Elephas maximus indicus: one gene and its partners. The protein of the gene in region 3 purifies or fractionates together with the protein of the main gene of each other region. This does not show direct contact. Links are inferred from orthologs where the notes say so. Each region holds a gene or a part of one and is shown on either strand. Other genes may lie near its edges.

Region 1 (7,354 bases), about 40 Mb from region 3:
AAATATGGAAGGAAAGCCTTGTGTACCTGGCAGGTAATAAGTATTACTGTTGAGATCACCTATTTCACAAACATCCTTTCCACTGGGTGCTCTAGAAGGCTTGCTTCATTGATAAACCCATCTATCTGTATCTCCAGCCTTTTCACAAGGTGTTTCCTCCTTATTTCGGCCTTTACGGAGACCTGGGTCTCCACTGGAGCCCTGGTGGTGCAGTGGTTAAGCATTGGGCTGCTAACCAAAAGGTCGGCAGTTCAGATCCACCAGTCACTCCGTGGGGCCCCCCCATGGGACAGTTCTACTCTGTCTTATAGGGTTGCTATGAGTCAGAATGGACTCTACAGCAATGAGTTCTTTTTTTTGTAATGAGGATCCCTAAGGATGACCCCGAGTAAAGCCTGTGCTCATTTTCTCAGAAGCTGACATCAGTATCCCTAGCCCCTTACTGCCTCTTCCACAACACATCTCTTTCACCCTTCATAGGAGAAAGTCTCCCTTTTGTTTTGAAACAAATTTTGCTATACAACTCTTTAGGCAGCTGTGTGGGGCAAATGGTTAAGTACTTAACTACTAGCCAAAAGGTTGGCAGTTTGAACCCATCCAGAGGTGCCTAGGAAGACAGGCCTGGTGATCTGCTTCCGAAAGGTCACAGCCTTGAAAACCCTATAAAGCCCAGTTCTACTGTGCACACATGGGGTCGCCATGAGTTGGAATCGACTTGACAGCAACTAACAACAACATACAACTCTTTATCCTTCTCTGTTGTCTTCATCTGTTAGCTCCAGGGTTACTTCCTACATTCACTGAAGATTTGGGTCCTGGGCCTCAATTTACTCCTCAACTCCCACCTCCTTCATGCAGCCCTCAATGCCCAATACACTCGCCTTGTAAGTGCTAGATCCAATTCCAGTGATCGCCATCTCACTTTTTATTCCGTATGAGTGGTCATACCCTACATCTTATCATCTCCTCTAACTGCTTCCCCTTTGAAGTCTTTGACTCCCACATCACACTCTCTGGTGACAGCGTACCAGTTCTCCCATTCTCATAGGCCCTCTTTGAATTGAGCCTCCAGTCTTTTTTTTTTAATAATTTTTAATGTGCCTTAAGTGAAAGTTTACAAATCATGTCAGTTTCTCATACAAAAACTTATATACATCCTGATTTACACTCCTAATTGCTCTCCCCCCAATGAGACAGCACACTCCCTCCCTCCACTCTCTCTTCTCTTGTCCACTCGGCCAGCTTCTGGCCCCCTTTGCCCTCTCATCTCCCCTCCAGATAGGAGATGCCAACATAGTTTCATGTGTCTACTTGATCCAAGCAGCTCATTCTTCATCAGTATTATTTTCCATCCCATAGTCCAGTCCAATCCCAGTCTGAAGAGTTGGCTTTGGGAATGGTTCCTGTCTTGGGCTAACAGAAGGTCTGGGGACTATGACTTCTGGGGTCCTTCTAGTCCCAGTCTGACCATTAAGTCTGGTCTTTTTATGAGAATTTGGGGTCTGCATCCCACTGCTCTCCTGCTCCCTCAGAGGTTCTCTGTTGTGTTTCCTGTCAGGGCAGTCATCGGTTGTGGCCGGGCACCATCTAGTTCTTCTGGTCTCAGGCTAATGTAGTCTCTGGTTTATGTGGTCCTTTCTGTTTCTTGGGCTCATAATTACCTTGTGTCCTTGGTGTTCTTCATTCTTCCTTTGAGCCTCCAGTCTTTTGATCCTTCTCTTTTCTTTTTTCCCCATCTCTTAGCTCCCTGCTGGGTTCAGTTCCTTTCCTCTACACACTAGACCCCTATTCCATTACTACAATCTCACTCTTTTAGCACCCTCAACTCCCTCCCCGTCTTGTCCTTCTACTGTACCCAACCAGCAATCTCTGCTTTTATCATAAGTATCTATATTTTTTTATCTATGTTTATCTATATATATATTTGGAAACCCTGGTGGTGTAGTGGTTAAGTGCTACAGCTGCTAACCAAAAGATCAGTAGTTCAAATCTACCAGGCGCTCCTTGGAAACTCTATGTGGTAGTTCTACTCTGTCTTACAGGGTCCCTATGAGTTGGAATCAACTCAACGGCAATGGGTTTGGTTTTTTGGTTTTATTCTATATATCTTGCAAAATTATAGCTGAACATCACTACACAATTATGGTTCTTAAACTTCACTAGGTCTTCAGTGAAGTCCCTGAGTGGAACAAATGGTTAAGTGCTCAACTACTAATCAAAAGGTTGGTGACTGAAACCTACCCAGAGGTAGGTTCTCGTGATCTGCTTCTGAAAGGTCATAGCTTCTGAAAGGTCATAGCCTTGAAAACCCTATGGAGTGTAGTCCTACTCTGCAACACATGGGATCATCATGAGTCAGTCAGAATTGACTTGATGGCAACTGGTTTGAATTTTTTTTTTTTTAGTGACACTTGACTAACTTGTCCCTCTAGTGTCTCAGACTGGTTATTCAAAACTTTTACCACTTTCTTAAACCTTCCATTTCACTTCAAAACCTTCTATTTTCTGTAGATAGCCCTGGCTATACGATAGAGAAAACAGAAGTCCTCTTTCTGGGCCAAACTCTTTCAGCTTCCCATCCCTATACGCACACATTTTCTGTATTCTCACCTTTCCTTACCTCTTTCCCTCCAATCTCAAAGGAAGAGACATTTCTCCTCTGGCTGAAAGCTAATTCTATCCATCTGCACTCTATATCTCTTCCCTGGGACTCTAATCTTCTCTCCTGTATCTTTAACTTCTCCCTCCTTCCCTTCAACCCATAAACATACTTAAAATTTACTTACCTATCATTTTTCTGGAAACCCTGGTGGCGTAGTGGTTAAATGCAACAGCTGTTAACTGGAAGGCTGGCAGTTCGAATCCACCAGGCACTCTTTGGAAACCCCATGGGGCAGTTCTACTCTGTCCTATAGGGTCTCTGTGAGTCGGGTTTTTGGTTTTTATCATTTTTCCACTGCTTCTTTCCATTTCAGGCTTTGCAAAAGGCTGTCTTGACTTACCATCTCAATTTTCCTTACTCTTCGATCCATGAGCGATATGGTTTCCGACCCCACTGCACTGCTGAAAAAGAGTTCCCGTGAAGACGCTGGTTGCTCTCCCTAAATTGGAAGTGTACTTTTCAGTCTTTACTTCCCTGTGTTCTCTGAGGCACCTGGCAGACAGCTCAGGAGCACCTGGCTTTCTGAAAAAAAAAAAACGATCCTCTCCTGCTTCTTTCCCTTCTTGTTTGCAACCGCTTCTGCTCCTATTGCATTTGCTAGTTCTCCTTCTAGGTAGGGCTTAGCTCTGAGGAGAGAAGGGCAACACCTTTCTTTGAGATAGCTGGGAAGCAAGTACAGATAAAGAACAATTCAGATCAGTGGCCTTACTGGCAGACAATTTTTAAACAAATTCCCTTTTTACATATCATTGGTGATTTCCAGTCCTCTTTTTCTTTCTCTACACTGTTTCCTTACATAAGTTCAACACTGGTGGCTTTCACTACCTATATCTCTAGGTCCTTTTCCTGATCCCTAAACCCATACGCCCAGAAGTCTAGGAAGACCTCTTACCCTGCTGGCTCCTAGATCCCTTAGTTAGGCCCATAGCTGAAGGAGTTCTCCTCCTTGGTTCAATCTGATTTGTTCCTCTGGTACTCCCTGATTTGGTAAAGATAGCACTGTGCATCTGTGCCTCCTCCTCATCTTCTACTTGGACCACTCCAAAGAAAACCAGACCCTTAAAAAAAAGACCCTTAGGCCCCTGAATATAGTTCCTAGAATATGCACTTTGTTTTCCTAAGGTAGGAGGGGGTTAGCACTAACAGCAAGACTTTGCAAGGAGAGACCCCTTTTAAAGGCAGTAACTTAGGGTCTTTGAAACCAAATGCCCTTATTTGTAAGCCGCTGGGTGGCATAAGGGTTCAAGTCCACCCAGACACCTCCGAAGAAAGGCCTGGCGGTCTACTTCTGAAAAGTCACAGCCATTGAAAACTCTGTGGAGCACAGTTCTACTCTGACACGCATGGGGTCACTCTGTGATTGCAACGGTTTCTGTTTTTGGTCCCTACTTGTAAAAGGAGGTAACAATGCAAATGAGAAAGCCTGTTTAAGGGAGCTGTTACCTAGCAAATGCTCAGACACCGTTAGAGTCTTTCTCCTGGTGCTTTGTAAGCTCTTCCCTTCTCCTTAATAACCTCTGGTGTCCTTTCTCAACACCAGCCAACCACCAAATCCTCTTAAGTTACTCTGAAGCTCTGATTGTTCTCTGACTTCTCCCCCCGCCCTCCAGCAACTTCTCCTTCTATGAAACTTCACTGATTCCAGTCCTTTTGTAGCTCTCCCGCCAGACGGCGAGCCCCTCAAACGCAGAATTCCGTTTTCTTTCGCCCTCTCCTGAGCGCTCCTGCAGTTTCTGGCGCATAGTCAGGGATCAGCAAACGTTTGTGACAGAGCGCAGCTCTTCACAATAGTGAGAGCTGGACGGGAGGACCCAGGCTGGGGGCTTGGCCGCAGAAGGGGCCGGGGCTCGCCGGGGACCGTGAAGTTAACCGCGCGTCGGGAGTGCCAGTGCCAAGTGAGCTGCGGCTGGGGGAGCGGGTTGGGAAGAGCGAGGCCTGGGGCCGCGGGCGCCCCGGGCGGTGGGCGGGGGCTGGCGGTGCCAGAGGAGGCACTTTTAGCGCTTGGTGTTGGCCGTTGCCCAGACTCGGGTGTCAGCCCCAGGCTCCCCGGCCAGAATCAGCCGGGCGGGCTGCAGGGCACAAGGGGAGAGGCCCGCGTGGGCGGCGGGAGGACCGGTGGGGACTCCGGACACCCCTAGCGGCGGCCGCCTTCATCGCCCGGTCCCACAGGTGAGTGCCAGGCAGGCCGCGGGGCGGAGCCTGCCGTCGCCACCGGCCACCCAGCCCGGCGCCGCCACCACCGCGCAGGTAACTTCCCGCCCGGGTCTCCCCCGCGCCTCCGGGACCCCCAGAGCCTCCGCGCCCGTGCCCCTCGGCCGGCCCTGTGCCCCCAGCCCCGGCGCGCCGTGGCGCCTTTGTCCCCCGCCCCGATGGCGGCGGCGCTTGCCCCTGCGCAGAGTCCGCGCTCGGCCCAGAGCCGGCGTGTCCCGGGAGTGGGCCGGCGCAGGGAGCCGGGGCACCGCCCTGCCCGCGCCCGTCGGAGCCCGCCCGTGGGCGTCCGGCGCCGGGCGTTGCCCAACTCCCTCTCCGCGCCGCGGCGCCCCGATCCCTCCCTTCCTCCCCGCACTCGGGGCCTGAGCGCCCCGGGACCACGCTCGCGGAAGTGGGGCCCCGCGCCGAGGGCCATCCCCTTCCCCCAGCCGGGCGCACTTGCAGCAACAACCCTGGCTTTCCCCCTTAATAGCTGGCTGTGGAGCACGGCGCTGAACTGCGCTAGTGCCACCAAATAGCTTTTTTTGGCATCTTTTTTTTTTAAACCGATGTTTAATTTATATACAGTAAAATGCACCAGTTTTAAGTGTGCAGATCAGTGAGACTTGACAAATTATACAGCCGTTACAATCACTCCCCCAAAGGAGACATAGAATGTTTCCATCACCCACTTTCCTTCGCGCTCCTTTCCAGTCAATCCCCGCCCACAGTTCTGATTTCTGTCATAGCTTACTTAGTTTTGCCTGTTCTAGAACTTAATAAAAATGGGATCATTCAGTGGATACTCTTTTCTGTTTGACTAAAAGTAATTTTTAAGTGGCCATCACTGAGAAGGGGTCTTCTGGTGTTTGGTGTGTGCTCTGGGTCTGCGAAGCCCAATATGGTAGCACCGCCACGTGCGGCCACTGAGCGCTGGAAACGTGGCTTGTCTGCGCTGAGATGTGCTATGAGCATACGCAGCTAATTTCGGAAGACTTAGTACAGAAAAAGAATGTTAAATATCTCATAAATGAAATTTTATGTTGAATACTCGTTAAAATGATAATATTTGGAATGTATTGGGTTAAGTAATAACATTAAAATTCACTTCAGCTGTTTTCAATTTTTCATGTGGCTACTAGAAGATTTAAAATGAGACACGTGGCTCACATATTTTTGTTGGACAGCGCAGCTCTACGCTCCTATTTTAGAAACATTTGGCTCTGCTTCCTGTTATTACAGTAAATGAAAAAGTTGAATCTTCACAAGGGAAGCTATTCCCATCGCAAGGAAGTGATCTAAAACAGAGCCTGACTTCTGCAGGTTTTAAACTTTGTTTCACTTACTTGTTTGCTTAAAAGAGGTAGAAAGGACTAGCTATAGCTGGGCGATAAGTTACATTTTCAAGGACTTTCTAAAATATCGCAAGTGCTTAAAAAGGCACCCTGTGTGTGTGAAAAACAGAAAACTAGTAATTGCCTACAACCCAAATGCCTAAATATATTAAAAATGAACATTTTGGTGTACTTTTGACCAGTCATAATTAAACTTAGTTGAGATAATATTGTGTTCAATTTTATATCATGCTTTTTTCACGTAGCATAGGTTTTAGAATATGGTAAAATTAGAGAAACAGTTATTTTCCCTTTAATCCCGTGGGAAATGTGAAATCTGAGAAGACAGAGATGTTGTCTTTTTTGTTTACTCCTATAGCCCCAGGAACTGGGAACAAGTCAAGCACTAATAAAATAAAAAAAACAAACCCATTGCCATCCAATTGATTTTGACTCGTGGTGACCCCATTTGTTATAGAGTAAAACTGCTCCACAGGGGTTTCTTGGTTGTAATCTTTATGGAGGAAACCCTGGTGGTGCAGTGGTTAAGTTCTACAGCTGCTAACCAATAAAGGTCAGCAGTTCGAATCCACCAGGTGCTCCCTGGAAACTCTATAGGGCAGTTCTACTCTGTTCTATAGAGTCTCTGTGAGTCGGAATCGACTCGACGGCAACATGGCTTTTTTTGCGTGTATTTTAATCTTTATGGAAACAAATTTACAGGCCTTTCTTCCATGGTTCCACTGAGTGGGTTCGAACCACCAACCTTTTGGTTAGTAGCTGAGAGCAAACCGTTTGCACGACCTAGGGACCTTCAAGCACTAAAAAAAAAAAAAGCACTAATAAAAAAAAACCCGTTGCCGTCGAGTCAATTCTGATTCATAGCAGCCCTGTAGGACAGGGTAGAACTGCCCTGTAGAGTTTCCGAGGAGTGCCTGGTGGATTCGAACTGCTGACCTTTTGGTTAGCAGCCGTAGCACTTAACCACTACACCACCAGGGTTTCCTCAAGCACTAAGAGATGTTCGATAAACACTTGAGAGCTGATCAAATAAGTGAGTAGGTGGCGCTGAGAAATGGTAACAGCTACCTTTATTTATCCCTTATGCATGCTTTGTAAATCCCCAAATAAGTCTCTGAGGTAAGTACTATTATTACCACTATGTCAC
Region 2 (6,927 bases), on a different chromosome or scaffold from region 3:
CCAAGAGGAGGGTGGGCAGCCCAAGATCTGGGAATCATCCCCAGGAAAGTCAGAACAGTCCTATTAATTTTTTTTACACCTTAGGCTTCCATGTACTATTTTGTTTTAAAAAATGGTTCTGCTGCTCAAAATGATTTTGAAAACATTGGACCAGATTCTCCAAGGTTATATCATATGGTGACGTTATTTCCTCTTGTGACAGTCATTTGTTTTTCCCACCTCTGAGGCAGGGACAGTGGCCCAGATCCAGACTGGGAGAAGGAAAAGAGGAGGGCAAGTGCTCCGGGAAGCACCTGCCCCCACATTCCCACTGTACTGCCACTACCCAAGGCCACCTCTATGAAGCACCGATTTGCTTCTGCCTCGTACCAGCTGAGGCCCCAACTGCCTTTTCCGCTTGGCTCCCAATCCTTTAAGAACAATGGTACTGTCCATGCAGCACCTGGTGTCCAGTGTTTGCTGGGCGAGAGAATGAGGCTCAGGGGCCCAGCTTCCCTGTCACCCCCAGCCCTGCCACCTACAGTGTCGAAGCTCCTTCTTGAAAGCCTTGTGGTTCCCCAGCTCCTCCAGGAAGGTCTGGCCAGCCTTGTGGAGGCTCTCTGAACTCTTCTTGGACAGGAACCAGCCAAAGTAGAGTGGCAGGAAGTCCTTCTCCAGCCCAGGCTTCAGCTTCTTCAGGTCATCAGCTGACAGGTGCCACTGGTTCTTCTCCTTGAGCTGGGCACAGTCCAGCCGCCACGCTGTCTTGGGCTCCACCAACACCACCTGGTACTGGTACTGGTCAGCCACTTCAAAGAGCTGCTCCAGCCGCTCCCGCTCATGGTGGGTGTCATCCAGCACAAGCACTCTGATGTCCCGGCGGCAGTAGGCAGCCAGGTCCTCATCCAGCTGCTTGTACTCCTCAGAGAAGGCTCCTCGACTACCAGGGGTAATCTTGTAGGCATCGGCAGACAGCACCTTGGTGCCATCACGGTACTTGTCCCTGATGACACGTGCCAGCGTGGACTTGCCGCTCCCTGGCAGGCCACGCAAGATGAAGAGCGTCTTGCATTCTTGCAGCGTGGCCACCGTCTCCTCATCCGTTAGAAAAGGAAACTGCAGCTCAGGCTTGTCCTTGGCCCCTGAGGATGACATTTTGCGGAAGATCTTAGGCAGGAATGTGTGGCTCTTTCGGGAGAAACCTCTGTTCTGTGTGAGGAAGAGAAGAACAGATGTCAGCCCAGGTCACCAGCAGCCACCCCACCAGCCCTGCCCCTTGTCTAACCTGGCTCCCCTGCCCTGGTTTATAAGCATCCCTAGGGTTGAAAGCACCTTCCCGAGTGGTGAAGTAGTGAACTTTTCTAGGGCCTACCATGCCCCTTGGAGTCCCTGGGTGGTACGGTTAATGCACCCAGCTACAGACAAAAAGTTGGAAGTTCAAATCCACCCAAAGGTGCCTTGGAAGAAAGGCCTGGCAATCTATCCCCTCCCCCCAAAATCAGCTATTGTAAACCCTACAGTCCACAGTTCTACTCTGAGATACAAGAGGTCACAATAAGTCAGAGGAGATTGGGTGGCAACTGGAAAAAAAAAAAATGCCCCTCCTTTTAGTCCCCTTGAGTACCTGTCTACTGGGGGCAGAGGATGGAGAGGGAAGCTGCACCCAGCCTGCCTATACTCTCGCTTCCCTCCAGCTAGAGCAGTACCCCAAGGATTACCCACTCCTTCCACCTCCAAAAGGAAGCCGTGTTGACATGCATGCGGGGGAGGGCCTAAAGCCTGTGGTTCTAGGGCCTGGCCCCAATTTTTATATTCTTGGCAACTATTAAGGATGTCCTCTTCGAGAGTGGGGTTTCTCTATCTGGGCAGACACAGCTGTCCTGGCTCAGAGTGTGTACTGGGGAGCAGGGAGGAGGGTTACCAAAATACTGCCTCCCTGCCCCCAACAATTGCAGCAACGGATAATACTCTCTTGTCTGGGATGGGGGGACAATGGCCCCACAGACGGGCTGGTAGGGGGCAGGGCAGTAGAACGCTGGACAAAGAGCCTCATTCACCATGCCTGCCACCTCTTCCTGCCCTCTCTCTGGCCCCACAAAGTCATGGCCTTTGTGCCTGTCGTAGAATTGGGCGGCACAGGCACCTGGGTTCAGGGGCTAGCTCTGCCCACTGCTTTGCTATGTGTCCCCAGCACATCTCCAAGCCACTTGTTTTCCTATCTGCTAAAAGCTACAACCCCAAAACCCGTTGCGGTGAAGTCCATTACGACTCACAGTGACCCTGTAGGGCAGAGCAGAACTACCCCACAGGGTTTCCAAGGCTGTAAGTCTTTACTGAAAGAGGCTGCCACAACCTTCTTCCCCAGAGCCGCTGGTGGGTTTGAACCGCCCTCTGGTTAGCAGCCCAGCTCTTAACAACTGCGCCATCAGGGATCCTTAAAAGCCACAAGTGACAACCGAAAACTATAAACCGTCCTCTCTTCCAAAGGGCTCCGCCTCCCTGAGCGGCTCTCTGCTGGCATGCTGTTTTGGGAGACAGGCCCTTGGGCGCGGGAAGGCGACGAATGGCTGCCGGAGCGTGGGCCAGCGCAGGGGTCGGAACCAGGCCGGGGGCCCCGTCGCTGTAGACCCCAGGTCGCACCCACGCCACCTAGGTCTCCCCCTCGTTTCCTCCTCCAGCCACCACTCCTCCCAAACCTCCCCATTTCTTCCCTACCTTAGGACTGCATCCGGTTCCCAAAAAAGCTTGAGCTCAACTCCGGAACCTCGATCCTCATTTGCATGCCACTTCCTCCCGAGAACCCGAAAATACTCTGGTTTTCCGTTCCGACGCTACCCCTCTGCCCGGCCCAGTCCTCTCCCTCCCCGCTCGGCCTTCACCCTTCTGCTCACCATGATGAGGAAGAGGGGCCGCCGTCGCCGCCTTTGCAGGCACTCGCTCTCCGGGACCGCCCGCCTGCGCGGAGGGACACGGGAGTTCAGCGGCCACACGACGCCAGCCGGGCCGCTTTACATACCCCGGGGGCGGGGCGACGCGGACGGGCGGGCGGTGCCGAGGGCTGGGACGGGGCGGGGAGGGGAGGGGCGGGACGGGGCGAGCGGCACTCTGCGCGCAGGCGCGCGGAATCGAAACTCACAGCGGCCGGGCGCTGGGGGCCCCCGCGTGCCTGGCCGCCGGCGGGTGTGCACCTGTGCTCTCCGAGACCTGCGGCGGCCCGGGGGCTTGTTCGGCCTCTGTTCTTGCGCTTGTTAATGCTTAACTCTATTTAGGGAAGCAACCAGCCCCACCGCCAGACCAAGGCTAGGCCTAGGATGGGACGAGTGAGGCAGGGTCGTGCAAGGGCAGGGTCAGAACCTGTCTGTAAAACGTTGGCATTTTATTCAGCATGGAGTTTTGCATTAATTGTAATTTTTTTTCCAATTTTGCATTGAAATATTACCTGTCTCGATTACTGAGTGTTTTGGCGCCACCTTGAGTCCCTTAAGTGCTTGGCTCCTAACCTAAGGGTTGATGGTTCAGTCCACCCAGAGGCAACTTGGAAGAAAGGCCTGGGATCAACTTCTGAGATCTAGTCATTGAAAACCCTGTGGAGCACAGTTCTACTCTGAGACACGTGAGGTCACCATAAGTCAGAATCACTCCACAGCAACGGTTTGGTGTTTTGTGTTTACTTTTGGCCCAAAGCAGTACCTTACTCATCTCACTCCAGTCCCCTCCTCTACCCCAGCCTAAAGTCAGCTGCAACTCCACGCTTTCGAGTGGGTGTGGAGACGGAACGAAAAGGACAGAGCATGGTGGAATCCTGACTCGTTCTCTAAGGTCAGCTGCTCAGTTGCCACCTCCTCTGTGACCCACTCAACACTCCGTTTGATTTTCTAGCCTTTGCTGTGTGCCATGTGCCATGCTAAGTTCTTATTTAACCCTCGTGCCAACCCCTGAGGCAGGTATCCCATTTTACAGAGGTGGAAACAAGCTTGGAGAGCTCGATTTACTTGGTCATGCCACCAGGAGTCATACCCGTGAAGTCCAGCTACTGTCCCAGCTCCCAGGGCCAGCCCCGTTTCTTTCTTTCAAAGGAGCCATCTTTCTTCCTCTGGGCTCCTGGGGCAAAATGGCCCCTTATCAGTCCCAGCATTCATTTCACTCTGCTTTGAAGGCTTTACAAGTCGGCCTCCTCCATGGCATGATAGCTGAGCCTGTCCTGTTATCACTTCTCCATAAAGCCTCCTACAGTGTCCTGCACACAGCAGGGGCTCTGAAAAATAAACCAATGGCCAGTGGTTGGCAAACCCGTGGCCATTCCCAAGCCTTTCTCTTTCTCCTCCTGTTAAGCTTCCTGGGTTCTTTGGAGCTCACCTGTTTCTTCACCCTCCTGGAAACATTTCTTAGCACCTTTCTCTTCCATGAGGTCCTAGTACAGGGCCTGGGGGGAGAGGGCTATGTTGCACACCTTGGTCACACTCTTGGTCAGGCGTTGTTCAGGGTTCTGGGACAAGAGTTCAGCTTGGGAAGTGGTACCCACACCAGCATCACTGATTCATTCTCTCAGGCTCTTCTGAGACTGGGTGGGAGTGAGGGGGCAAAAAAATAAACTCAGGGCTTGTAAGAGTGAAAATATATATATTTAAAGGGAAAATGGTGACAGAAAGAAGCAGAGGTGACCAGTAGGGCCCAGTCCCCCATTTTTTTCCTATTAAAGACAAATCTCAGCTTGAAAATCCAGTTTAATAAGATTCCCATCATCGCTGTGAACTCCAGCCTCCTGATCCTAATGCCTGTTAACAAGGCTTTATTCATCTTTCTTTACATCTTTTTTCATCTCTTCAGGATTTTCTGTGTTGCCCATCTCTCCTGGCACTGGCAGGTCTTCTGACTCTCTTCTGTCTGCTTCTGCCCGTTTGCTTCCTTCCGATTCACTTCCACTTAACCCTTCTGAGAGCCTGTGGCCTATTTCTCCTGAGGGCCTCCTGTAGATTTCCGTTGCTTGTCTTCTGCCCACTTCTGATAGCTTCCTGCCTGTTTCTCCCGACTCTCTTCTGCCTAATTCTCCAGGCAGTCTTTTGCCGACTTCTCCTGAATCTCTTCTTTCCATTGGCCCCAGTTCTGTTCTTCCTGAGGAGCTGGTGTTTTCTGTTTCCAGTCTCTGCCTGCTCCCTTCCAGCTCAAGTGCTGAGCTCTTCAGGTCTGCCTCGAACAGCTCGTCATCTGGCTCTATATGTTCTCTCTCCCACTGCTTCATCACCTTCTCAGGTTCCTCTTTCGCTCGTTTCATTTTCTTCTCTTCATTAAGTCTCTTTGCCATCATTGTGGCATCATCCAATGCCATGGTCTCTTCTGGAAGAACGTGAGAAAGAAGGGAAGATGAAAGTTTGTTCATCTTTGGGCCTAGGTGAGCCCCCTGCTATGGAGGCCTGTGCATCTGAGAGACAGCCAAGAAAAAGGCCCTGAGAATGCCCATGTTCGCAGGCTCTGTAAATCGGTGGTTGATAGCACACCTTCCACAAAGAAGAGAAAGGGAACCACCGTTTACTGAGCAAGAACCCTGTTCCAGGCATCATGTGAGGTGCCATGCAGGTCACACCATTTAATCGTCACAATGCTGCACACTGCCCTTGATCAGATTTTACGGTCAAGGGACATGAGGTTGACTGAAGAGAAATCACATGCAACAGTCACCATGCAAGTAAATAAACAGCAGAGTCAGAATTTGAACCCAGGACAGTCTAACTCTAGAGCACGGTTCTCTTTTTCCTCTAAGATTTCTTTGTTCCTGGGGAGCACATTCCTTCTTTGCTGGGTGGTCTCCTGTGAACATCTGAGTAGGCTGCTAGCAGCTAGAGAGCTATTTACAACCAAAGGGATCCTTGCTCCATGCTTTTCGCATTGAGAAGAATCAGCAGTCCCCTCCTGAGTACACTCTCTTCCTGGAAGTCCCTGGTCCCTAAGAAGCCTGCAGTGCCTCTTAGAGGCCTCACGGGCAGGAGAAGGCCGCCACTGCGCATGAAAACATGGGCCATGCTGCCACCTGCTGTCCTGAGAGGGAAGTGCCCAGCAGCCGCCCCTGGCCGCAGGGCCTTCTGAGGAGTTTTTGGGAGGATATGAGGCCTGTCCCAGGAGAGGGGAGAGATGAAGGGAGGAGAGGCTGCTTGAAGCATCTGCTGTTTCCCTGCTGACTCTTCATATCTAGTGCTCCTGTGCCTTCTTAGAGAAGCTCCAAGGGTACGTGGAGCCAGAGACAGAGTCCCTCCCTGATGGGACCCACCCACCATACGACAGGCACTCCCCTGTAATAAATGGCTGTCATCTGGCTGCTCAGCTGCCCAGAACCCACCCCCAGGTTCCTGGTGCCTTGCCTGGATCAGAGAGGATTTCAGCCTCAGAGCCTGGAGGGCTGTAGCTACAAATCTGCTCTATGGGAAGAAGAGGTCCCCAGGGCTGGGCTCTGTCCCATCTGGGTGCACAAAGGCCCCACCCCACCACTCCGGCTCCCCTTTTCTGCAGTCTGGCTGGCAGGAGGGCAGCACAGGGGACAGCCAGAGTGGTACAGAACCACATACAAGCTCTAGTTCTTGAGTCTGACTGCCTGAGACTAAAAACCACTGCGGGACCTTTAACCTCTCTCTACATCTTTGTCCTCTGCGTGAAATCAAACCACTACTTATTCACAGTGTTTCTGGGGGCATCCAATGAGCTCATGTGCATAAAGCCCTAAGAGAGTGTTTGGCACGCAGGAAGCTCTGAGTAGAGCAGCGATTATGCCCCTCTGGGGTCTCTGGGGTCCTTCTCTGCTGATTCAGGTCGGGCTGGGTTCTCAACCACCTGCCTCCCCTTCCCTCACCCTTTCCACAGAGTGGGCTGGGAGATGCCAGCGCACCTTGACAGCTCACTCAATATGGGGTCTGCTGGCCTGTTCACTCCCTGGAGGCCTGTGAGAAAGAGCGCCATAAG
Region 3 (7,823 bases):
ACACAGATTATGTAGTATGTTAAACATTTGTTAAGTACCAAGGAGAAAAACAAATTAGGGATGAGGGATAGAGAGTATAGAGCAGGGGGTGATGCACTTTGAATAGTGTGATCAGGGAAGGCTTTACTAAGGTGACATTTGAGCTGAGACCTCAAGGAGGAGAGGGAGTGAGCCATGAGTATATCCAGAGGAAGAGCTTTACAGGCAGAAGAAACAGCCTGTGTAAAGGCTCAAAGGCAGGAGTGTGTCTGCACTTCAGTCACTTTCAACCTCTTTTCTCTCATCTATAGCATGGGAATAACAGTATTTCCTACCTCATAGGGTTGTTGTGAGATAATGATACAAAGTGCTCAAAACAGTGCCTGGGACATAATGACTCCAGAGCACACACTCTCTGTGCCATAATCAAGGATGCAGGGGATGATGCACTTAGCATGGTGCCAGGGACCCAGTGGGCATTCAACAGATCCCATGATTGCTATGCCAAGTATCAAGATGACTTTTTAAGAGCCTTCCCTCTTTCACACCCTTGTCCACAGCCGCTCGAGCCTCAATGCCAAGCCTTATGACGGCCTTGATCTGAACTGCGACAGCCAGGACTTCGTGGCCGCCATTATTAGTATCCCTACCCCTCCTGCCAACACCCCAGATGAGAGTCAACCTTCCTCCCCTGATGGCAGCAGCAGCAGGGCCAGCAACACCCTCAGGAACTCCAACATGGGTACCCCTTGCCTCCTCCCTGAGACTGTCAGGATCTCTTCCCTGTGAGGGGTGGGTCTACCCTTCCAGAGGGCCCTCTTAATTCTTGGGGACTCCTTTCCAAAGCCATATCTTAGGGAAGCAGAGAGGGGAAGGCCTGGGGACCCCTTCTGCCCCCTACCAAGAACTATGCAATGGAGTTTCAGGGAATAGCCCACTTGGTGGGGAAGTAGCCAGAGAGTGGGAAACTTCTCCCACCCCACATGATTTTCCTGGTGAGAGCTGAAGTGCTGGGCTTCCACAGACCCCCGACCTCCTTGGCCCCTCTCCCCTAGCTGGCCTCTTGCATGTTCCTTCTCTTGAGGCCTCAGAGGTAGGTAAAGCTCCCATCTGATTCTTGGGCTCTGGCCTGAGAAGTAAAGCTAAGATTTCTTCTCTCTGGCCGGGCTGTGGAGGTTTGGGACTTCAGAGAAAAGAACCCTCACCTCTGATCTCAGGTCCAACAACTCCAAGACTCCAAAGCTTAGAATGCAACAACCACAGGCTTCCATGGGCTGTGGCCTCAGCAGTGATCTGCCACTCCCAGGCCTTGGCTGAGGGGTCAAGCTGCCCCTCCCAACATAGACAAATAGCACAAACACACCAGCCCCTTCCCTAGCTACTGAAAATGGGTCCCCGCAACCCCATCCTCTGCCAGGCCTCCAGCAAATTCTAGCAATAGCAACTGCCGCCATGACATTATGCAAAGCCTCTGCTCAGTCTGCTGCAGTATCTACATCTACCCTAATCAGAGGGACCACCTCTAACCAATCATCCTTCACTCCTCTCCTCTGGTTTGCTTCCTTCCTGGGTTGGGCTGGAGTCTGGACTGGCTGAGATAAGAGCCTGGCAGCCAGCAAGAGCTGGGCTGTGCTTGGAAATCATGGGCTGATTCCATATTTTTGGGCAGGAGTCCAGAACCGTCAGGGGCTGAGGCCTGGGTTTTTCCTGAACTCTGGGAGTTGTAGGAGGCAGGAGGAACTTCTTGATCTCCTCTTCCTTCCCCACAACTCCTTTTTACATGTTCCTTTCTCTTGGGTCACCTTCTGGAACTGTGCCTGCTGTCAGGCTGAAATCTGGCATCATCTCAGGTTCCCTGTCCCCAGCACTGACCTCATGGAGCTGGCGGCTGACAAAGATGTAGTTTCCATCAGTCAATAAAACCTAAGAGGAGAGATGAGGATTAAGCACCTCCTGGCTCTGGGGGCTGGGGGTCAAAAACACTCTGATTTCAATTCCTTTCCACTAGTAGGAGGGCTGGTGTGAGTAAAGGTACAGGGGGGTGGATGGCTGGTTATGTGTTCTGGAAGATTGGGATCTAGGAGACATGAAAAAGGGTGGTTCCAAAATTGAAACTACAGACAGTGAGGCAGGCCAGGAGGTCTAGAGACATGCCTCTTTGGCCACCATCTGATCCAGTTCCCTCATTCACAGATGGGGAAACCGAGACCCAGAGCAGCACACAGTTGGTTAGAAGAGAATTAAACTCAGGTTTCCTGACAGCAAACACCTCTGAATTAACTCTCATGAAAAGCATCTCTCAGTTTGGAGAAATCCCCTTCCTTTGGAAGTCCCCTTCATTCTCTCTCCCGAGCTACTGGCTACACTAGGTTTGTGTGTGGCTGAACTCTATGGAGAAATAAGAAGACAGACTTTGGATTAGGTTGACCTGGGCTCCAATCCTTGTGTGAGAAAATCACTTACCTTCTCATGCCTCAGTTTGCTAATCTGTGAAATAATCATTCATTTACCAAATATTTAAGTATGTATCATGTACTAGTCCTAGAGATACAGAGTTCAGCATGGAAGGCAGACAATTAAGCAATTATAGTGTTGTAGAACTAAGATCAATGGATTGCAGAAGCATTTAGATAGCAAGAGAACCTAACCTGCCTGACACATAAAGAATGTATTGAAGTTAGCCAGACAAAAGACAAAGGGGTGAAAATGTTTTAGGCAGAGGGAACAGCATGTGCAATGATCTGGAGGTTAGAGAGCAAGCTGAAGGTGTCTGGGGGAACTGAAAATACTTCAGTGTGGCTGGGGAGGAGAGTGTGAGGCTGTGATGAGGACAAGGATATAGAGATAGGCTAGATCATGAAAGAGCTTTGAAACTATGATACGGATTTTGGATTTCATCCTAAGGATAACGGGGACCTCTGAAGGCTTATAAACAGGGAAGTGTCATGATGAGGTAGGTGTGTTTCAGAAGGATCATTCTGGCTGTGGTGAGTGGATTGTAGAGAAATAGTCCTGGAGGCAGGAAGAGCAGTGAGGAGGCTTTTTAGGTAGTCCAGTTGGTAGGTGATGGTGGCTTGGACCAGGGTAATGGCAGCAGAGTTGGAAAGTCAAGAGATTTGGGAGGTAGAATTGGCTGGACTTGGAACTGGTGGGCATGTGGGAGTTGAAGAAGAGGGAGTAATCAAGGTTTATTCCCAGGTTTCTGGTTCGGGCAATGGCTGGATGGGCCATTCGCTGTCAAAGGAAACATCAAAGCTGTTAGTGCACAGTGCCAGGCACGTAATAAGCTAGCCATGATCATTACCCTGAGTTCAGTTTTGGATGTGCAGTGCTGAACAAATATCTAGTAGGTACTGGGATATATGGATCTGGAGTGAGATGGTCCTGAGAAGATTCAATGTGATAATGGCCATAGGCACTTGGCACAGTTTCCTTAACACAACAGGCCCAATAAATGCGAATCCCCTCCTTCCATTAAGTCTCATGCACAGAAAACACTACGAAAGCCCATTTATTACTGATACTCTTCAGGGAAGAACTTAAGGTAGCCAGTTAGGTGGTAATCAGAGAGCTTTCTAATGGTCTCTCAGTCAGCCTGTTGTATGGCTTGGATCCTAAGACTGACAGCAAATGCTCACCTCTTATACCACCTTTTTGGTTCATGAGCTCATTCGAACCCCGTTAACTACTCTGTGAGGTAGTCTATACAACAGCAATGACAAAAAAACAAACTCATTGTGGTCAGGTCGATTCCGACTCATGGTGACTCTATAGGACAGAGTAGAACTGCCCCATAGGATTTCCAAGTAGCGACTGGTGCATCGGAACTGGGGACCTTTTGGTTAGCAGCCTAACGCTTAATCACTGCGCCGCCAGGGCCCCTGAAGTAACTAGGCAGGCATTACTATTCCCATTTTACAGATAGGTAAACAAGAGACAAAATGACTTGCTCAAGGTCACACGGCTAGTAATGGTCTGTCTGGTCCTGGAACGGAGGTCTTCCTGACTCTAAAGCCTAGAGGGTCCTTCCACTGTACCACCAGACTAACTTGATGAGCACTTACTGTGTGCCAGGGATGGCACCATATCCTTTACAAGCACGGACCTCTGATACTCATTTTGAAAAATTGGAATTATTGTTGCCATTTTACAGAGAAGTAAAAATTTAGAATGGGGGGATTGTTAAATGACTTGGAAAGGATCACTCAGAAGGAAGGGCAGAGATTGGATTAGCTCGCAGCTCTCCAATCACTCAGTAGCAGGGATTTTACCAACCCCATTGGGAGACCCTGGCTGGTAATAGAGCTGTTTGGTAAATACTCGCTTGTTGTACGCCATCGAGTTGATTCTGACTCACAGTGACCCTAGAGGACAAAGTAAAACTGCCCCATAGGGTTTCCAAGGCTGTAAATCTCTAGGGAAGCAGACTGCCACATCTTTCTCCCACAGAGCGGCTGGTGTGTTCCAACCGCTGACCTTTCCGTTAGCGCTAGACCCAGTAAAAACCACTTCAGAGAAAAAAAAAAAGGCTGTGCCTTGCCTGTGCACTAACCATTGGCGCATTGAGGTCAACGCTAGGGCGAAAGGGTGGTTGTGCCAAAGGGCGTGTTTGCTTCCCAAACTCCTAGTCCCCACGGTGCGTGTCTGTCCCACGATTGGCCCGTCCAACGTAAGTGAGGGTGTCTCTTCACCAATCAGCGCAGAAATCGACTTGTTGCCAGGGTGAAGCGGCGTCCGCCTCTTTGCTCCACGGGGATTTGCAGGTGGGTGGGACCGGAACTGACGCTACAAGGGAACGCTATGGCCTGGGAGTTTCAATATTTTTCAGTCAGTCCAGCTGAGTGCGGCCAAGTTGGAAGTTTGAAGGGGAGGGGCTTTCGTTATCGCGCATGGAGCAAACCTCGCAGTTCTTTCGCAGTACCCATGCCCGCGAGTCAGAGCCTCGGGGAAAGAAGTGAAGACCAGAACCGGCCAACAGAAAGGCAGGGAAGGAGAGTACCGACTTTAACTGAAGTCAAAGGCGGAGGACACAAGAGGGCGAACGCTCGCCCCTGATTGGTCCAAGGCCATCCTTGAGGCCCCACGCAGCTGCCTTGATTGGTTGGTGCTCTCAATTGTGGCGGCGGCGGTGATTTTGCCCACGTACTTCCCAAAGAGGGGCGGGTCTGTGCCCTGGAGTGCCTGCGCAGCGCCACCCGGGCCCCACCCGGTAGTTCAAGAACCTGGGAGGGGGCGGGGCGAAGAGGCACTTGTTTTGGTTCTGTTTCCTTTGAAGCAGAAGGCAGGAACGAGCATATCAAAAAACTTGCTGAACTTGGAGAGAACGCTGCGAGAAACTCGCAACAGTACCTCCACCTTGGACTTCATATCCGGGTTCTCCTCCCGGCGTAACCCGCGCACCCACCGAGGGTTCTCGAACCGGTGCTTTAATCCCTTTATCCGGATTCCGCCCTTCCCGACGTCCTTCGCGCACAACAGTAGCCCCCCCCCATCCGGGTTATCTCCCAGCGTGCCCCGCGCCGGGTTTGCTGGGGGGTACTCGGCGGTGCCGCCATGACTATTCTCCCCAAAAAGAAGCCCCCGCCTCCCGACGCCGACCCCGCAAACGAATCGCCGCCGCCCGGGCCCCTGCCCCCGGCGCCGCGCCGCGGCGGGGGTGTGGGCGTGGGCGGCGGCGGCACGGGCGTGGGCGGCGGCGACCGTGATCGTGACTCGGGCGTCGTGGGGGCTCGTCCCCGGGCCTCGCCACCGCCTCAGGGTCCGCTACCGGGGCCTCCAGGCGCGCTTCATCGTTGGGCGCTGGCCGTCCCGCCCGGCGCTGTGGCGGGTCCCCGGCCGCAACAGGCCTCTCCACCTCCGTGCGGAGGCCCAGGAGGTCCGGGCGGTGGTCCTGGCGACGCACTGGGACCGGCAGGGGCGGGCGTGGGTGGGGCGGGCGTGGTGGTGGGCGTGGGCGGTGCTGTGGGCGTGGGCGGTTGCTGCTCCGGGCCGGGGCACAGCAAGCGGCGGCGTCAAGCCCCTGGGGTTGGCGCGGTTGGCGGAGGTAGTCCTGAGCGTGAGGAGGTCGGCGCTGGCTACAACAGCGAGGATGAATATGAAGCGGCGGCAGCACGCATCGAGGCCATGGACCCTGCCACTGTTGAGCAGGTAAAGGTTGGGAGGCAAGAGGTGTATGGGATGGTGGATGGGATCCCTAGACTGGGTAGGGAACCCAGGAATGCTGGTTTGAGAAAATGCCGAGGGACTTAGGTCTTCTCTCGGGGCCTGACACTCCTTTCTTTGGTAGTAGGGACATGAGACACTCTTCCCGCTGGACTCAGAGGCCCCAGATAAGGTGTGAGACTTAAACATGGGCTCTGAGGTGTCTTACAGAGCCCATAGTAGTAATTATATTGTCAGGGATCTTATCATGTAGGGTCAGTAGGTAGGAATTCCTCCCCCCGCCCCGGAGAGACAGGTAGGATGAGTGCCTCCGGAGAGGGGAGTCTATGTTCAGGGGCTTGAGATCCCCTTTCTTCTCGGATAGGAGCTTGAAACTCCCTCTCCCAGCCCACTGTCACTGAGTAAATTCTGACTCATAGTGACCCTGCAGGGCAGAGTAGAACTGCTGCGCGTAGGGTTTCCAAGGCTGTAAATCCGCACAGGAGCAGCTTGCCACATCTTTTTTCCTTTGGACTGGCTGGTGGGTTTGAACCACTGACCTTTTGGTTAACAGCCGAGCGCTTAACTGCTGCACCACCACTGCTCCTACTCCCCTCTCCAGGGAACCCAAATAGGGCGGAGACCTCAGAGATAGCTCCCGAGTGTCTCCACGGGATCTATAATCTTTCAGGGACTTGAGAGACTGCATGGAACAAGCTCTCCTCTGCAGGGGAATGAGGCACAGGCTCTTTAAGCACTGGGGTTTGAGACTACTTCAAGGGTCCTAAGCCTGACTTTAGGGACCTGAGACTCCTAGAATCAAGGGTCTGACATGCACATGTACATATCCTTTAGAGATAGACGTCTGAGTTTTCCCTCAGGGAGATAAGATCCCTTTCCACTTGGGGACAAGGGCCAAAACCTATCCCCAGGGACCAGAAACTCTACTCAGGTTCATATGAATCATCTCTTCTCTGAGTGACAAGTCTATGGTTCCCTTCAGTGGCCTGACACCTCCCTCCTTGGGGACAAGAGTCTGAGCCTCTAGGAGCTTAAGCTTCTAAGGGTGGGCCTCCCTTCCCCTCTCCCCCAGCCTCCCACCAAGGGCCTGAGCTTTCTCTCAAGAAAATAAAGACTCACTGCTTTGGATACTGGGGCCTAAGACCTCCCTGCTTATGGACTGGTGTTTTCAAAGACTGAGCCTGAGGCGTCTTTGGGGGCCTCATATCCCCCAGCAGAGGTTTTCAGGGAACCTTTTGTGTCTACATGAGGTTATGAGACTTTTTTATCCCAATTGTAAGGGACTGACTGACAACGTAGTGATATAATCACTACCTCCCCTCTCTCTCCCCCATAACAGGGGTTTGAGGTCCCCTTCCCCAAGAGACTGAGCTAATTGTCAAAGACAGAGGACCCCTGCCTTGGAACCTCAAGCCTGAGGCCACTCCTCAGGGGACATGAGCAGCATGAGGTCCCAGGGATGGTGTCTGAGGCTTTCCCATGGATCTTCAAGGGCCTAGGTCCCCCTATTTTAGGGTGAAAGACCTGAGACCCACTCCACCGAGACTTGAACTTTCCCTCAGGAACAGGAGACTCATACCTACCCTAGTGATGGGTGTGTCTCTAGGGTTGAGGTCGGAGCTTCCCCCTCGGGGAACTTGAGGTACCCCTCAGGAACGGAGGACTTCCCCCGCCAGAACTGA
Region 4 (6,841 bases), on a different chromosome or scaffold from region 3:
AGGGCAGCTGGCTGGGCTCAAATCGCGGACCTCTCCTTTAGCAGCCCAGAGCTTAACTTTGTTCCACCGGGGCTCCTTCTAGAGGTTTCAGGGGCAGCTTAAAACAAAGAAATGCAAAACAGCCTGCTAAGATCTCTAATCCAGGTCCCTAAGGGCAAGCTGGAGCACCCCAGTGGCTTAAATGATTAAGCTACCAGCCACAGCTTTGAAAACTTTATGGAGGAGCTATACTCTGCGCAATGGGGTCGCCATGAGTTGGAAACAACAACAAGGACAGAGTATAAAGCTCCCTCTGAGACTCAGTTTATGCCCCTGTAACTGTTACCTGGAGCTCTGGTAGAGGAGGGGTTAAGCGCTAGTTGGTTCAAATCCACCAGCTGGGAATCACTGGCCGACAGTGGGTAACTGTTAGCTATTGTTGAGGTAAACTCCCTGGGTGGTGCAGTTAGCTTACTGAAACTTTGGTCTCTTGTTCTTCATGTTTTTTTTTTTTTTTGCATTCATTTTTACTTAAAAAGTATGAAAACACTACTATCTTGATTCATGAGTTTTTTGGAGCCCCCTTAAATTTTGTGCCTGAGGTCGGTGTCTGGCTCTCCTCACCCTAGTCCCAGTCCTCCTCAGCACGTAAAACAAAACAAAAACACCAAACCAGTCGTTGTGGAGTCGGCCCTGACTCATGGCGACCCCGTGTGTTTCAGAGTAGAACTGTGCCCCACTGGGCTTTCAATGGCTGATTTTTTTGGAAGTAGTTTTTTTTTAGATCACCAGGCTTTTCTTCTGACACACTTCTGGGCAGACTCAAACCATCAACCTAGCATGCAGTAGATGCCTAATAAATGCGTGTAGACGGAATGATCACAGTACCTAAAACATAGCATTTCTATCACGTAACGGGAGCAAACACTTAGTGATTTCTGCATACCAGGCACTGTGCTCGGTGCTTTACTTGTATTAATGTCTTTAAGCCGCAGAAGAGCCCCGTAAAAGAAGTTCTGTTGTTAGTCCATAACTTACATGCAAAACCTGAGGTTCAGAGAGGTTACGTAACTCGTGCAAAGTCACACAGCTAGGGAAGGGGCAGAATCAGCCTGTAAACTCAGGATGTCTGGTCTCGGTTAACCAAAGCTGAAGCACATCTAGCTAACAGAATTTTGTAGAATTGCTTCCCGACCGAAGCATGCTTTTTTGAGTCATATTCGTCCGTGCTTTTCCTAGCTGTGTAATCTTGGGATAATTAACTTTTTTGAGCACTAGTAGCCTCATTAGTACAGGAGGCCACCCAAAGCTCAGGGTGTGGGAAGAACTAAATGAATTACTTGATTTAAAGGGCATACAGCCTTGGAAACCCTATAGAGCAGTTCTAGTTGTCCTATAGGGTCGCTGAGTCGAAATCGACTCGACAGCAATGCATTTTTTTTTTTTTTTGGCTTGAGGCCAGCCCTTATTATGCGCTGATTCTCTGTAACTCCGAATCGACTCAACCGCAACGGGTTAATATCAAAGGCAGAACGGAGCGGTTTGCAGTGGCGGCCGCTGGTCAGCAGGGGTCGCTACCGTCGTCTCCGCGTCCTTCCGGACGCCGCAGCGGGCGCATGCGCAGCTGAGCCTCCCTGCAGAGGGGGCTTTTTTTTTTAATTTCTGTTCCCCGCCCTTAACCCCAGCGGGTATTTATGACTGCAGACCGTGAACCTGGCTGTGGTTGCTTTGGCTCACAGTCGAAGCTCCCACCCTCCTCCCCTAGGCTTCTGCTAAAGTCAGGAATGGGACTGGAGTTGGAGAGAGGTCCCCCCAGCTCTGGCCAACATCTGGCAGCCGGGGGTGGGGTGCCGAAGCCCTTTCCGTGGAGGCACAACAGCGGGGGCGGGAGGGACTTCAATCTTCCCTTTCCCCTTGAACTCTCCAGCCCCGCCCCCCTTGAATATACCTTACAATCAATTTTCTCAATGAGCTATGTATTCATTTGAGGGCAAATTAAACTCGCTTTTCTAAGGAAAACCTTTGCATGCCATTTGTTAAGTGCCCCCGGTTTGCAAGGAAGAAAGGACAAACGGCTGTGCAGTGCGTAATACGGGACCCAGCACACAGTAGGTGCTTAAAAACTTTAAAAAATTAATTTGTGAAAAAGGGAAAGCGGATACCCATCTGCTGAATACGCGTCCCCCCAATGGCGCATGCAATTGACTTGTAAAATTAACATAAAACGTGTGTAGAACACAGGCGTTGATGTTTAAAAACCCAGGCTGAGTTGTGTGTGTGGGGGGGTGGTGAGCCTGGATCTTTGAGTAGATATTTATGGAGCGGCGCCTTCCTGCCTCAGTTTCCTCCTGGGTTAAACGCGGGACGGTGATAGCAAGAGCAGTCGTGGGTTGAATGAAATCAGGGCTGCGACAGCTCAAAGCTAAATGTGCACTGCATTTGCCGGGGCGGAAGGGGTGTACAGGTTTATTTTAGCGTCCTTTCGAGAATTTGCAAGGCTTTTGCGGACCTCCCCCCTCTCCCAGCCCGGGAGAAGCACTGCAGTGCTTTGCTTTTTACTGAGTGAGTTTGGGGGAAGGTGTACTGCAGCGAGTTCATCTGAGCTGGTGAGAGCATCTTTCATTGATGCGTTCATTACTTGGTGATAGCCGACTACTTGCCAGGCATTGAGCTGGACTCAAAGCGTAAAGAGACGGAATTGAATAGCCAATTCGTCTCCACCAGCGAAAGTTCCGAAATACAACTATTTCTTAGGGTCAGATTAGGACACAAATGCTAAATAGCCTTCCTTGCGCCTGCCCCTGGAGAGGAACCGAGACAGTGAGATTGCACATGGAAAGCGCTTAGCCCGTGACTAAGACACGCAGCAACCCCTGAAATAAATAGTTGTTTTATTAATATCAATGGAAGTTAATTAAAATGGCTCAAGAAGAGTTCCTGTGTGTCAGCATGGTGCTAATCTCTTCACGTGTATTTAACTCGTTTTGCTATCTCAACAGTGACGTAGTACTGAGCACTCCCATTTCACAGATGGGGCAACTGAGGCACAGAAATTAAAGTAACTGTGGTGGAGCGATTTAGGTATTTTGTTTGTTCATTGCTATATCCACAGCACCTATGACTGCCTGGCACATACCCATTGCCGATTGGATTTAGACTCATAGCGACCCTACAGGACGGAGTAGAACTGTCCCATAGAGTTTCCAAGGCTGTAAATCTTTACGCAATCAGACTGCCACATCTTTCTCCAGCTGAGCGGCTCAGCGGCTGGTGGCTTCTAACTCCCGACCTTTCGATTAGCAGTGAGCGCTTCACCACTGTACAACCGCTTCTCTTTCTATCTAGGACGCAGCATACACTCGCATTTGTTGAAGAAATGAGTGATCAGTACCTGTTTTTTAAAAGTTTTTATTTTGAAATAATTATAGACTCACAAATAGTTGCAAAAATGGTACAGAGAAGGACCGACTACCCTTCACCCAGTGGTATCATTTTACAGGACAATGTAAAAACCAGGAAATTGACATTGCTCCAACCCGCAGCCCGTACTCAGACTGTAACGTGCTTTCAATAATAGTGGTTGGCAAGCTACTGTAGTTGCTATTATTATTATTCTCAGCGAAAGCGGCGCACTTAGCTTTGTGAACCTGAATATTGCATCCCGGAGGCGTGCACCAAGCTGGCAGCTGACTACCGCCCCTCGGAAATCCAGGCTCGGGACGGCGACTGAAGGGTTAACCGGGGAAAGCGTCAGTGCGCCTGCGCAAGGTGGCGCCTCGCCCTGCCCCCGCAGCGCGGTCAGATGACCCGCCCAACCGGCGTCGGCCTATAAAAGGCCGAGTGTTGACGTCAGCGTTCTCTTCCGCCGTCGTCGCCGCCATCCTTGGCGCGACTCGCCTCGCTCGTATCTGCCTGGGAGAATCCACCGCCATCCGCCACCATGGTGAGTCACGCCGTCTCTCGGGCGGCCCGGGCCTGCGGTGGGGCCTCCGAGGAGTCGGCGCTTCAGAGTCTGGTGCGCCGAGGCCGCCGAGAACGGGGAGAGACATGGCGGCGGCGGGCTCGGGGCTGGGGAAGCGGCCGCCGCCATGTCTGCGTGCCGCGCTGTCGGCGCAGCCCGTTCTCTGCTTCCGGGGGCGCCGCTGCCTCGCGGGAGCCCGGGCCCGGCGGGAGCCGGGGTGAAGGCGGGGTGGGGGCATGGTGATGTGGCAGGCGCTGTAATGGCGGGCGCCGCGGCCGGCGAGGGAGGCGCCTTATGTAACCCGCGGGTCGCGAGTTGGAGCTCGGGGTTCTGTCCGGGGGCCGTGGGCGGCGGGGAGCCAGCGAAAGGAGGCAACGGAGTCCTTAAGCCCCCCGCCCCGGTCTCCTTCGCATCCTGGGTAATCTTGGTCCTTGTCGTTTCTGTGTTTGTCAGCTACAGAAATGATTGGTTTGCTGCTAGGTGAGGACTGGCTCTTGTTGGGGGTGCGAAAGGTGCCTGGGTGCCCGAGGAGAGAGCTTATGTAGGGATCTGAGGGGTGGGACGGATCTCCGTGACGACCCCCACAGCAGAGAGGTGACCTTGGATATCAAAGGCTTTTGGGGGGAGGAGAGCGGGGTAGCTCCGTGGCTTTTCTTTAGGAGTTTTGGGGGAGGCATTGTTAACTGACATCATCATTTTTGCACCTGGCCTGAAGGGAGTCGTGTCACCCTCGGTGACTCACTGTATAGCCTACTTTGTGGGCTGTCACCAGCAAATGGCAACTGAAATCAGAGCTGCTATGGAGATTTGGGAGAGAGGTTTTTATGGAGATTTGGGAGAGAGGTTTTTCAGAGCACCCTGGTCATCAGTTGGGGGTGCCAGCTTGCTCTTGGCCGTGGGCCTGGCTGTTGTATCGACCGGATTCTGAGTGCCAAGTTGGTTCCTGGAATCCTGTTCTCCCCCTCCCCCAGGTGAACTTCACGGTAGATCAGATCCGGGCCATCATGGACAAGAAGGCCAACATCCGAAACATGTCAGTCATTGCCCACGTGGACCACGGCAAGTCCACGCTGACAGACTCCCTGGTTTGCAAGGCCGGCATCATTGCCTCCGCCCGGGCTGGGGAGACCCGCTTCACTGACACCCGGAAGGACGAGCAGGAGCGCTGCATCACTATCAAGTCCACGTGAGTCCCTGGTGCTTTCTGGGCCCTGGCAGGGAGTGGCTGATCAGCTGGCTGTTGGGGGGTGGAGGCTGGTGACAGCACGTACCATCATTTTCGGGGGGGGGGTGACAGCACGTATCATCTTTCTGGGGCTGGGGCTGGTCTGCCCAACCATAGGAAAATATGGTTCAATTTAACGAGGTGCCGCTGGGTCGAGATTGGGGGCCTTGGGGAGAGGAGAAGGTTTGACCCAGTGGTCTCCTCCTGGGGAGTGACTTGGCCACTCCTCCAGGGACACTTGGTACGGTTGTCAAAGCTGGGAGGGATGCTACAAATTTCTAAGGTTGTTACTGAACACGTTGTGATGCGCAGGACAACCTGCCCACCAGCACAGAGAACTGTGTCCGTGCAAGTCCGTAGTATCCAGATTGAGGTTGATTCAAGGCCGAGTTGTCTTTAGTTGGTAATTTAGAGGATCTTTTTGGTCTTTTATAGTTAGACTTATTGCAGTTGGGCCAGGAGAGGGACAAGTAGGTCTTGGGGTTCTTAAGTCCTGGTTGGTTATAGAATTAGGTGTGATGTGGCCCTGGAGCAAGGGGCTGGGGGCCCCCAGGAAGGGGAGGATCCCTGGTCAAGGGTGCCATGGGTGGGTTTTGTGTGTAAAGTCCATTTTGAGGGATGACTGATACTGTGGGGGCACAGGTTAGCATGTTGCTCTGAGGGGTCTGTATCTGGGTGTTTAGTGGCATCCCTGTCTTACCTGGGAATTGGGGGCCAGACATCCTGACCCACTGGGGCAGGGATCTGAGGCTGGTGCAACCTGGGTCCGTGTCCATCCATCCGTAAGATTTGTCTGTCTGTTCTTAGCGCCATATCCCTCTTCTATGAGCTCTCAGAGAACGACCTGAACTTCATCAAGCAGAGTAAGGACGGTTCTGGCTTCCTCATCAACCTCATTGACTCACCTGGCCACGTTGACTTCTCCTCAGAGGTGACAGCTGCTCTCCGTGTCACTGACGGCGCCTTGGTGGTGGTGGACTGTGTGTCCGGTAAGCAGCGGGTCCCTCTGGTTGGGGGGGGGACTCGGGCCGTCTCCGCTTGGGTCATCCTCTGGGTGACTGACCGTTCCGTCCCCAGGTGTGTGCGTGCAGACGGAGACGGTGCTGCGCCAGGCCATCGCCGAGCGCATCAAGCCTGTGCTGATGATGAACAAGATGGACCGGGCCCTGCTGGAGCTGCAGCTGGAGCCCGAGGAGCTTTACCAGACCTTCCAGCGCATCGTGGAGAACGTCAACGTCATTATCTCCACCTACGGCGAGGGCGAGAGTGGCCCCATGGGCAACATCATGGTGCGGGGCCTGGTGCTTGGTGGGAGGCCGTTCTCTGTGGCAGGGACTAGGGAGACTCGGCTTTTCTTGTCTAGTGGGTGCTGTCATTGGGGAATGGTAGTTTTGAGGAGCTTGAAGAGGTTGATTTCAGCCACTGGTATCTGGGAGAGGGAGGCTGGGCTGGGCACGCCAGCATGTGATGACTGACATTTCTTCACTTTGACCTGATGTGTCTTGAAGAAACCCAGTGTCTGAGGCCCACGGTACCTGGGGAGCCTGAGGCTGTGATTTTTACCCCAGTGCCCCCGCCGCCCCAGCTCTATGGTTCCCTCTTCTCCTCAGATTGACCCTGTCCTTGGCACCGTTGGCTTTGGTTCTGGCCTCCATGGCTGGGCCTTCACCCTGAAG

What was found.
Region 1: the proteins of OTUD5 (region 3) and CTPS2 purify together in Homo sapiens (affinity purification with mass spectrometry; 3 studies listed by BioGRID and IntAct, with this or other methods). This does not show direct contact. The link is inferred for Elephas maximus indicus from reciprocal best matches to the Homo sapiens genes OTUD5 and CTPS2.
Region 2: the proteins of OTUD5 (region 3) and CNP purify together in Homo sapiens (affinity purification with mass spectrometry; 3 studies listed by BioGRID, with this or other methods). This does not show direct contact. The link is inferred for Elephas maximus indicus from reciprocal best matches to the Homo sapiens genes OTUD5 and CNP.
Region 4: the proteins of OTUD5 (region 3) and EEF2 purify together in Homo sapiens (affinity purification with mass spectrometry, with the first as the bait; 3 studies listed by BioGRID). This does not show direct contact. The link is inferred for Elephas maximus indicus from reciprocal best matches to the Homo sapiens genes OTUD5 and EEF2.

Annotation. Positions count from the first base shown.
Region 1 is NC_064846.1:162,888,823-162,896,176, forward strand, and holds the start of CTPS2 (CTP synthase 2), read left to right. Parts: upstream 1-4,346; 5' UTR 4,347-4,557; intron 4,558-4,632; exon of another isoform or gene 4,633-4,909; intron 4,910-7,354. UniProt on the Homo sapiens protein: Catalyzes the ATP-dependent amination of UTP to CTP with either L-glutamine or ammonia as the source of nitrogen. Constitutes the rate-limiting enzyme in the synthesis of cytosine nucleotides.
Region 2 is NC_064837.1:48,958,906-48,965,832, reverse strand, and holds the start of CNP (2',3'-cyclic-nucleotide 3'-phosphodiesterase), read right to left. Parts: upstream 3,003-6,927; 5' UTR 2,874-3,002; coding exon 2,871-2,873; intron 2,833-2,870; exon of another isoform or gene 2,695-2,832; intron 1,189-2,694; coding exon 522-1,188; intron 1-521. Other genes in the region: ODAD4 (outer dynein arm-docking complex subunit 4), read right to left, coding at 4,769-5,313. UniProt on the Homo sapiens protein: Catalyzes the formation of 2'-nucleotide products from 2',3'-cyclic substrates. May participate in RNA metabolism in the myelinating cell, CNP is the third most abundant protein in central nervous system myelin.
Region 3 is NC_064846.1:122,667,263-122,675,085, forward strand, and holds the start of OTUD5 (OTU domain-containing protein 5), read left to right. Parts: upstream 1-4,809; 5' UTR 4,810-5,532; coding exon 5,533-6,126; intron 6,127-7,823. Other genes in the region: KCND1 (potassium voltage-gated channel subfamily D member 1), read left to right, coding at 540-768. UniProt on the Homo sapiens protein: Deubiquitinating enzyme that functions as a negative regulator of the innate immune system. Has peptidase activity towards 'Lys-48'- and 'Lys-63'-linked polyubiquitin chains. Can also cleave 'Lys-11'-linked ubiquitin chains (in vitro).
Region 4 is NC_064821.1:7,039,402-7,046,242, reverse strand, and holds the start of EEF2 (elongation factor 2), read left to right. Parts: upstream 1-3,821; 5' UTR 3,822-3,919; coding exon 3,920-3,922; intron 3,923-4,911; coding exon 4,912-5,126; intron 5,127-5,972; coding exon 5,973-6,154; intron 6,155-6,242; coding exon 6,243-6,454; intron 6,455-6,625; exon of another isoform or gene 6,626-6,690; intron 6,691-6,775; coding exon 6,776-6,841. UniProt on the Homo sapiens protein: Catalyzes the GTP-dependent ribosomal translocation step during translation elongation.